2 linked regions of the Xenopus tropicalis genome follow. The protein of the gene in region 2 purifies or fractionates together with the protein of the main gene of each other region. This does not show direct contact. Links are inferred from orthologs where the notes say so. Each region holds a gene or a part of one and is shown on either strand. Other genes may lie near its edges.

The links. The genes of interacting proteins can lie anywhere in the genome.
Region 1: the proteins of cdca5 (region 2) and pds5b purify together in Homo sapiens (affinity purification with western blotting; 4 studies listed by BioGRID and IntAct, with this or other methods). This does not show direct contact. The link is inferred for Xenopus tropicalis from reciprocal best matches to the Homo sapiens genes CDCA5 and PDS5B.

The regions. Positions count from the first base shown.
Region 1 is NC_030678.2:153,120,164-153,125,277, forward strand, and holds the start of pds5b (sister chromatid cohesion protein PDS5 homolog B), read right to left. Parts: upstream 3,681-5,114; 5' UTR 3,597-3,680; intron 1,136-3,596; exon of another isoform or gene 1,040-1,135; intron 1-1,039. UniProt on the Homo sapiens protein: Regulator of sister chromatid cohesion in mitosis which may stabilize cohesin complex association with chromatin. May couple sister chromatid cohesion during mitosis to DNA replication.
Region 2 is NC_030680.2:33,589,439-33,594,601, forward strand, and holds the start of cdca5 (sororin), read right to left. Parts: upstream 3,111-5,163; 5' UTR 2,742-3,110; coding exon 2,690-2,741; intron 1,409-2,689; coding exon 1,353-1,408; intron 914-1,352; coding exon 851-913; intron 1-850. Other genes in the region: zfpl1 (zinc finger protein-like 1), read left to right, coding at 4,723-4,824. UniProt on the Homo sapiens protein: Regulator of sister chromatid cohesion in mitosis stabilizing cohesin complex association with chromatin. May antagonize the action of WAPL which stimulates cohesin dissociation from chromatin.

The DNA.
Region 1 (5,114 bases), on a different chromosome or scaffold from region 2:
TTTCTATGTAATATGCCTCTAAATTCTTAACTAATCAGCCTAGTAGTATATCTATCTATATATTGTATATTGCCAGTTGCTCCCTAAGCTCAGGTAAGTGACAGAGCCCAGAACACGAGTTTCTCGTTACTTGGAAATCCTCCCTGCTACATAGAATGCCCAGTTTGTCCTTACAGCTGCAATATACCTGACATGAATTGAAGAAAACCAAAACCAGCACAGACACAAGTTACACACATGGGCAAGTTTACAACCAACAACACTACAGCTTTCTAGTAACTAATGAGAGTTCTGAAAGGGCATTTACCAGCCATTATCACTAGGGCAGAAGCAAGCAATACACATATACACACACAATACTAAAGCCTGTGCATACACAGCCAATAATACATGGCTTCTTACTAGAGACGGTACCACATGGAAGCAAAATATATATATTCTTGCATTTTTATTTCCCAATGAAAACACTGCAGACCATGTATAAAAAGCTAGTTATTCCAGTGCCAATACTGCCGCACAGCACTCCTTCTACAGCATCATGCCTACGAGTGTGCCAGGGTCCCTAAGAAAGCACAGTACAAAGTTTGGTTGGCAAGCAATGCCTGTTGTGCTCAGACAGCTGTACAGCCGGGGCAGACAGAGGCACTATCTAAAAGAACAAGAGACACCACCGAGCACAGTGCAGCCTCCGAGTTAAAATGTGGAGGTGGCAGATGGGTATAGGGGTTAAGCATCATGCCAGCAATGGGGGGGTGGAATTAAGAGCTACAACAGTGCAGCATTGGTATCTAATTGTGGGGGCTGGGCCAGCAATTTAAGTCTTTGTTATGGGCGGGCTTAAATATACACCCCCACCAATCTCTTTTCTCCATTTATCTCCAGGTCTAACTCCTTTTATAGACTTGTGCCCATCCCCTCCTGTGACATCTAGAGATGGGGGAGTCGGGCGCAGTTATGTAAACAGTTGCAGTATGGTGGGTCGGGTCGAAACGGGGCAGGTTTGGCTTTCCCCGGGTCAAGTAACTGTTGGCCCAAGCTTCTCGCTTCTCGGCCCTTTGGCTAAGATCAAGTGTAGTATCTGTTCTTAAGGGGGTTCTCCTCCCCCCCTATATAAGACAGTCTACCATGATCCTCTGGCCAGAGGGCCGGTAGCATGAAAGCCCGAGGTGCGCCGTGCCCTGGGAGTAGCGACCCCAGGGTGCCCGAACAAGCACAGTGAGGTGGTGGCTCACGCTGCACTAGTACAGCACTTTGCACAATGGCACTTTAAGTTTTTATGCTGCACTCGCTCCTTCTGCCCCCGGCCTTTTGGCTGATGAGCAGAGAGAAATTTTTAAAATTCCGGACGTCAGGCTGGGGCCGTATACACGGCACTCTTTTTCTTATTTTATATTTATTCACTTCTTGTTTTGTCACTGCACTTTTTTCTATGTGACCCTTTCGAATGGGTTCTGAGGGTGCAGTTGCCCTTTTGGGTATGCCCCACGGACCAAGGGGAGGACTGTGTGGCCTTTTGGCTCCTGTCTCTCCCCGACCTAAGACAAGACTTCGGCCTTGACTGTACCTCGGAGGAAGCTTCGGCGGATTCCGGAGGAAAGGGACTCTCCCTAGCCTTGCGGCGAAGGAGAGTCCGAAGACCCTTGCCCCCGTGAGCCTTTTGGTCCGGGGGTCGGGGATGTAAAGGGACCCTCCCTAGCTTCGGCAAAGGAGGGTTCGAAGACTCTTTTTTCGCCGAGCCTTTTGGCCACGTGGGAATCGAGTATGGCAGCTTTGCCCCTTTAGGGGCTAGCAGCTAAACGCACCCTTTGTGCACTTTTGTGTGTTTTTTGCACGATGCACTTTTCGCACTTTTTGCACTTAGGAAGAAAGCACGACCTCGGGCTTTCAAAAATAAAAAAAAACTGTTGGCCCAAGCATCACTAGCGCCCAACTGTGGAGCAGGGGCTCAGTATCAATGCAAGTGAGGGTAAGATTTTGAGGGAAAGCCTATTTGATCTCCTAGATACACCTGAATGCCAATCTAGATGGTTAAACTCATACACAAAGGTTTCCTATATCAGTAACCATGAGCTAAGGGGCCCCCAGCCAAAGATTGGACCCTCAAAGAGGCGGGGCTTCAAGTGGTAAATAAGTCAGACAAGCACTAGTATATCAGTGTCACACAAGCCCTAGTGTCAATGACCTGTGTCAGCTGTCAGCCAATGAATGCCATTCATAAAGTATATAGTAAGGAGATGCAGCCGCAGCAACCATCAAATAGCTACAAAGGGCCACAAAGTAAAGCTTCTAATCCGAACAGAAATGGGGGTGAGCAGTAGGTAGGAGAACAGTGCCAGTGGGTTTTTGGCATTCTAGTCATACATGGCCCAGGCAGTCATGTACAGCACCCACAACCAGACAAATGTACAGCACCCACAACCAGACAAATGTACAGCACCCACAACCAGACAAATGTACAGCACCCACAACCAGACAAATGTACAGCACCCACAACCAGACAAATGTACAGCACCCACAACCAGACAAATGTACAGCACCCACAGCCAGACAAATGTACAGCACCCACAGCCAGACAAATGTACAGCACCCACAGCCAGACAAATGTACAGCACCCACAGCCAGACAAATGTACAGCACCCACAGCCAGACAAATGTACAGCACCCACAGCCAGACAAATGTACAGCACCCACACTGGGACAGCTATTAAAGGGAAAGTCACTCTGGGTTATGGCTGCCTTTAATTATTTAGAATCTTGACAATCCAGGCCAGGAATGCCTGCACTCCACTTCTAGAACTACAACTACCCAGCATGCCCAGTCATACAGCAGCAATGTGAGAGGCTGGGCATCTAATATCCAGGCAGAATATATATGCCCTGCAACCCCGGGCACCCAGTGACTATACCAGGCACCCAGTGACTATACAGGGCAACCCCGGGCACCCAGTGACTATACCAGGCACCCAGTGACTATACAGGGCAACCCCGGGCACCCAGTGACTATACCAGGCACCCAGTGACTATACAGGGCAACCCCGGGCACCCAGTGACAATACAGGGCAACCCCGGGCACCCAGTGACAATACAGGGCAACCCAGTGACTATACAGGGCAACCCCGGGCACCCAGTGACTATACCAGGCACCCAGTGACTATACAGGGCAACCCCGGGCACCCAGTGACAATACAGGGCAACCCCGGGCACCCAGTGACAATACAGGGCAACCCCGGGCACCCAGTGACTATACAGGGCACCCAGTAACAATACAGGGCACCCCCGGGCACCCAGTGCCTTTGTGATCAGCAGTCTTGAAACTATACTCCTCTCCCCCCGCCCCCCGACCCCTGGGCAGGCTTGGGCTGCCGGAGGATGCTGGGAGTTGTAGTTCAGCGACAGGAGGGGCCAGCGATGGCGCTGTACATAACAGCATGACTGCGCAGCATTACAGACAACTTCCCCGCACTGAGTGAGGGCAGCACAGCGCTCCGTACCCCCGGGCCGCTCCCCGCATCCCCCGCACACCGTTCCCTTCAGCCGGGAGGCCGCTCACCGGAACACAGGCCTCTGCCCGCCGGCCCTGGCACCGTATGTCTTACCTTTATATGTTGCCGCTCGCCAGTACGTTGTACTCCCTCCCCTCCGGCTCCGACTCCCCGCTCTCCTCTCCGTCCGTGTTATCCCGCTCCGTGCAGCCTGCCCAGAGCTTCAAAATGGCGCCAATTTGTCTCCGGCAGCTCCAATGGAAGCGGCTATGGGAATAAGCGCGGCCTTCCCCGCTGTACGGTCATGCAGCGGCCCCAGGCGGCCAAACTGGGAACTGCCATAGATCCACCCCCTCTCGGTGACGAAACCTTGGCGCTCTACAACTATGGGCGAGTGAGAAATCCGTTTGACTAGTGGAATGGAAAGTATTCAGTAGCCACAGGGCAAATCCATTCCACTACTGTGCCAGCGGGGGGACGCTGTCAGTGCATTCCCTAACCATCTGTCATGTTACAGGCGACACTTATGCATGTAGGTACTACATGGCTAAGTAATAGTGGCCCTATATGGGCCCATAAAAGCTGTGTATGTTGTCACTTAGATTGTAAGCTCTACGGGGCAGGGACCTCCTTCCTACTGTTTCTCATACCACATGGCATTTATATATATATATAAAATTAGAAAGAATGAAAGAATATGCCGCACACTCAGGTCTTAGATGCAAAAAACAAAATTTTTTTTATTTGGATCAAGGACTCGATCCTTGATCCAAATAAATTTTTTTTTGTTTTTTGCATCTAAGACCTGAGTGTGCAGCATATTCTTTCTAATTTTGTATGCTCACTTTATACTGCACCCAGGCAAATTATTACTTCATTATACGTGAGTGCCTGTTTTCACCTGTTCCTATATATATATATACATATATGTATTTATTGTATTTATTTATTATATCACTTGTCCTCCCTGTGTGTAATTGTGTATTCTGTAAGACTGTACAGCGCTGAGTACCCTTGTGGCGCTTTATAAATAAAGTTATACATACATACATACATACAAATAGCAGTCGGACAGGTTTGAAAATTCCATCAGACAAGGTGCATTGAAGCAGTCTTCATCTGATTGGCCCCCACAGGCCTAAAGCAGGCCAGGCATTGAAAGATCCGCTCAGTTGGCGAGGTGGTCACACAATTAAATATTGAACTCATCTGATTGGTTGGCCCTCGGGCCAAATGATTGGATCATAATTGCTCCTATGCAGACTGTCAGATTGAGGACTTCATCAACGTGCACGTCTGGTCCTCTATCCCATGTGAAAATCAAAGCTGTCCTATTTTTGGCCAGATATCAGTCGAGTAGGCCCGTCGGAGGGCCTCATATGTTGGCCAATACCAACCAAAGCCTGCAGCTTTTATTGACCCATGTGTGCCCACCTTTAGTGTTAATAGTGAAGTTAACCTCGCACTATAGTTAGACACCTGTCAAGGCACACCAGCTAAGACCTATTAAAAATACCTTTATTAAGTTTACTTTAAAATCAAATGATTAACTTTAAAATCCTTTAGTGTGTGATCAAATCATTGGCCCTGCTAGTAGGCATTGGACTGGGGGGGGGGTCTAATGCCAACCAG
Region 2 (5,163 bases):
AATTGGTACAACCCAAATAATGCTTACAAAGGCTAAGATTCTGCCATGTGAATGTGAGGATTAAATACAGCAGTCTGTCTGTACTCTGCTAATGTCAGGTTCAGGCCTTGGGTGCTGAAACCAGTTATAGTAGCAACATTGAGTCTGAAATGTTAGAAAAAATGCTTCTGATTCAGTTCAGGTAAGTACAAATTAAATAAAAGTAGTGTGAGAGCAAGTTTTAAAAAACATATGCTGGAATCTGAGCTGGTAGCTATGTTTTGGAAACAGAGGACAAAAATACATCAGTGAGCAATTTGGAAATACACCAATGTAAATCAGCATTGCCTAATCATACACTAAACATGCAATACATAATCATATATTATAGATTGGCACAAGTTAAATCTTATCTTACTTCTGTTCCTATATAATTAATAATCAAGAATTCTGATAATTCTAGAAAAATGCACAACAATTTGGAAAAATTGTAGCATCTTACTGATAAAAACATACAAAGAATTTTTACACTATGAACTGAAGACAACAAAGATTTACAGTGCTGAACAATGGGAGAATGACACTATTGCAGCAGGGAATGTAAGGATTTACAAAAAAGGTAATGCTCTTCCCAGAGAAATAATTATATTGGCACCAGGAAAAAATTACCATTAAATGAAGCCTAGGTGCCTATATTTCCCCACCTGGTGTTGTAGTGAGTCACAAAGTAGCTATATTATTCCCCCTGCTTCACTCAGCACTAATGTGAGCGGAACTAGCTACTTCCTTTTATATATGCATTAGTCCCCAATATTATTATATCAGAAGAAGGGTAAAGCTTTCTTTTTTCATAACACGACAGTATATTTACCAGTGTTTTTCTGGGCATTATTTTCTTGACCGTAATTGAACGTTTCATGATAGGATCTGGGATCTGAAAAATACAAAATTTAAAATAACTTAAAAGGGGTCATTCACCTTTAATTTACTTTCAGTATGGTGTAGACAGTATATTATCAGATGATTTCCAAATGGCCTTCATTTTTTGTGGATTTGGAATTTAGGTTATCTGATTGCTAGGGTCCAATGTACCACAGCTGCAAGACAGTGGTTTAAATAATAGACTGGAAGGTAAAAGGGACTGGGGCAAGTTGCAATAAAATTGTAGATTCGGAGATCAATAGTCTTTTGGGTGCCGGGTCTCTGAATCTTTTTAAATGCTGGAAATGGGTAGAGGAATGCAAATTATAACAACTATGGAAAGTGAAGATCAACTTAAAAGAACAGGACAAGATTGCTTCAAGGTGGATTTTCCCTTTACTAGAGTGTTGAATGGAGCTGGCTAATAGAGGGATGGAAAGTAAAGAACATACCGGACTGTCTGAAGCAGATTTTCTTTGGGATCTTCTTTTAGGTGGAGAGACGATACCTGCAAATGAAAAGGGTGGCAAAAAATGAGATACAAGTGTTAAAATAATATACAACAAATCAAAACATCCCCAGACATACTATGGCAGAGAACATGAGGGTAAAAATCACAAGAGTTTTGATCATTACAGGTCCTGAAAGGAAGGAACACCACTGCCAACATCAGCATCCCATTCACATTTGCCATAATGTCAATATCACTCGGGAAATCTGTTTTCCCAAACTATATCAGCTTACTAGTACAAAAAGTGTTTTCCCATTCAAGTAAATGCCAAGCAGTACTCAAAAGGGGAGGGGGTATTCAGTGGAACATAACCAATTATTGTAATAAGTCCACTTGTGAATATTATTATAAAAAAAAAAAAAAACACATAGGCAGATATTTTAATCATGTGAAACATTCTGCAATAATGCAAAAAAAACACATTCAACATTATTTGGAATACAGTAGAAATATGCAGCGCTGTTTCTAATTGCCATGGTATAAAAATTGTCTGGAGGATAATTCGAATGCCACACAGTCCAAAAATTGTATGAAACTTTGTTTTGGATGAATATATTGGTGCGACATGATCATATTGGTGTGTGTGGCAAGCTTAATAAACATTCTTGCATAAAAGTAAAATATTCCTATGTCTGGAAAATAGGATAGTGTATATATTATGTACTCTAATACTTATCTTTATATCAATAATAAGCAAACTGAAAACTTTTAATGACATGTCCCTTTGTACAATTAATGTATTATCTGCTATAATATTTATAAATTATTATTTGATCTCTCATATTTGGATGACCGGTGGCAGGTTTCGATTGCATGTAACAAGGATGCCTCAGATCCAGGATTTCGTTTGGGACTCGTGAATCTGAGCAGCTTTTTGCAAGAGCCAGACGAACCCTTAGCAGACAGCTAAATCAGATCCAAACCTTTGTCATAAGGATTAAAAGTGCCTGAAAGACAATGTTTTGGTCACAGACTGTGTTCAGATCTAAATGTGAATATTAGTGACCCTAATAAACTGGACCCTTTATATAAGATGTAGCCAATAATGCGTCCAATTTCAAAACATCTGTAAGTTTTGCTGTCTTCAGTTTCCTTCCACACTCCAAGAACATCCAGGCAGGTTATATGGCTTCAGGTAAAGCTGGCCTGACTGTGTGTGAATATTACAGGCTCCTTAGATTGCAAAGCTCCCAGGAATATGTCAGCGCTAAATAATATGGCATAAGAATATAACTTGCTACGTTGTTAGCCAAATGCCCCTCATACCCCAGGTCTCACCTACTCCTCTGCGGGACTCTGCACCGCTACTTCTCTTCTTGCGCTCCGACATGGCGCTTGGTGTCGATAGCCTTTCCGTCTGTAAAACTGTCCTTTAGTTATTATAGACAAAGTCCCCAGTGGTGCTAGCACCTTCTAACATAATCTAAAGCCGCGGCTCACTAAGGTTTACCACCGACCAGAGGCTGCTGCATGGTTACACACTAGCCTATAAGCCATACACATCGCTTGGATCCTTATAGTCCTTTATGTAATAGGTACAATTCTACATACACGAACTGCGCGGCCTTAGTAACCCGCACAAATAAGTAGCCTCCTCCTACTACTCCTGAATTGTATAAACTATCAGAAGCCGACTTTAAACTCCGCCAGTGTCACTAAATAGGAGCCTTTCAAATATCCCGCGCCCGCTCTGTAAGCCGGAAGTGGAAGTGACGTTCGCTTGTGCTGCTAGAACCACTACCCTGCGCGTCGAGGAAATGACGTCACAACGGGGCGACGCGTACGCTGCTGTCACTGTCACCCGGAAGAGACGTGGCAGAGAAGAGTGGGAAAGGGTTGTCTAAGGAAAAAGATAGTAAACCAGCTGTGCCGGATGGAAACAGGAGGGGAGAATAGTGAATGAAGAGTGCTGGCAAGAGGGAGAGCATTGGGGCGTGAGGCCGCTGTGTGTATATAGCGCTAGGCAGGTAGGTGCATTGCTATGTGTAGGATGAGACTACGAATAGTATAACTATACAGATTCTGCGCTACCACTTCAGGTTTCCATCCACGTCGGGCTGTCACGGGATTCAAGGCTTTGAAATCTCAACAGAAACATAGTGGTATAATATACAGAGACAAGTGTGTGTACTTTGTTCTGCAGCTCGCAGGCTTCGACTTTTGTGGTTGTTAGGGCTTAGTTACTGAAGCAACCAGACAGTTGTTTGAAAATATGAATGGAAGATGAGTATATGATGCTCTGAACAAAAAAAAAAAGGATTTAGTAAGGTTTTTCTCCACCATTTTGCCTTATTCATTCTTCTGTACATGCTTGAGTGTCAGTCAGTGTCAGGGACACATAGCGTTTGTGTTGCCATCTGGCCTGTAAAACTGAAGCTTGGTGCCAATTTTATTAATAGGGAAAAAAATAAAAATACGGGCTGGGATTTTACTGCCCTGACCAGTACAATTGATGATAGATGCCAATGTAAAGTATAAAAAAGCCAGTATTTTTTTCCAGAAAAGATGGTTAACCTAGTGACAGACATGTAAAATAGCAGCACTGTGGCCTGTTGGTTATTTCTCTGGGAGGGTGCAGTATTTTCCTTAAAAAAGCACCAGCCCCCAGGAAAAACTTACTGATTGGATTCATCAGAGAGGTATCTAACACATTGGCACCTCCAATAAATCCACCCGTCCTTATCCTTTATAGGTAAGCTTTCCTCTTCATCAGTGAAGCAGTGAGGTTGTGACCACATATTACAAAGAAAAATAACATTCTGTTCATTTACCCGTATCTTTATATTATAGTACAATTCCTGCAAATAACTACTAAAAATGCCCATGCAACTTGGAACAAAGATAGAACATATGTTTCAGTATAGTTAAACTAGCCTAATGTGTCAAAGTCAGGAGGACTTGGCTTAGCAAATACACACAAGTGTCTTCTTCAACAACCAATGTCTTTAAAGATTTTTTTTATTGCATTGGCCATATAGGAAGTTGCCCAGGGTAAAACAGCTCTCTCAGAGGTTAATAGAAAATTAACAGGTAGCATTATATACAAATTAGTGTCCCCTTGGAAATTTGTCCCTGTATGGGCACAAATACTTCTGAAATTTGGTTTTATCTTTTATGATATTAAGGCCACCGGGAATAATTTGGATACATGTGTCTGCTTCTATTCAGTGTACTCTATGCAATATGAACCATGAAAAACATACAGAAGTTAATTTGTATTTGAATACTCTATAAGGATGGTTTTTAAGAGAGCTATGGCTGATGCATTTCTGTCACCATTTCTGTTTCCCTCAGCAGGTGTCCCTGTCATCATGGGGCTGTGCAAATGTCCCAAGAGGAAAGTGACCAATCTATTCTGCTTTGAGCACCGTGTAAATGTTTGTGAACACTGCCTGGTGGCCAACCACGCTAAGGTGACTAAAATGTTGAAATTTATTATCTTGATGGCAAAGTATTGGGGCATCAATGTCGACTCTCTAGGTGAAACTGTTACAGGTATATAAACTGTCGTTTTCATACATCTGACATTTAATGCACAAGCTGGCAAGCTCTGCTTGTTGGTGTTTAAAGGAACAGTAACACCAAAAAATGAAAGAGCTTTAAAGTAATAAAAATATAATGCACTGTTGCCCTGCACTGGTAAAACTGGTGTGTTTGCTACAGTAATTCTACTATAATTTATATAATAAGCTGCTGTGTAGCCACGGGGGCAGCCATTCAAGCTGGGAAAAAGGAGAAAAGGCACAGGTTAC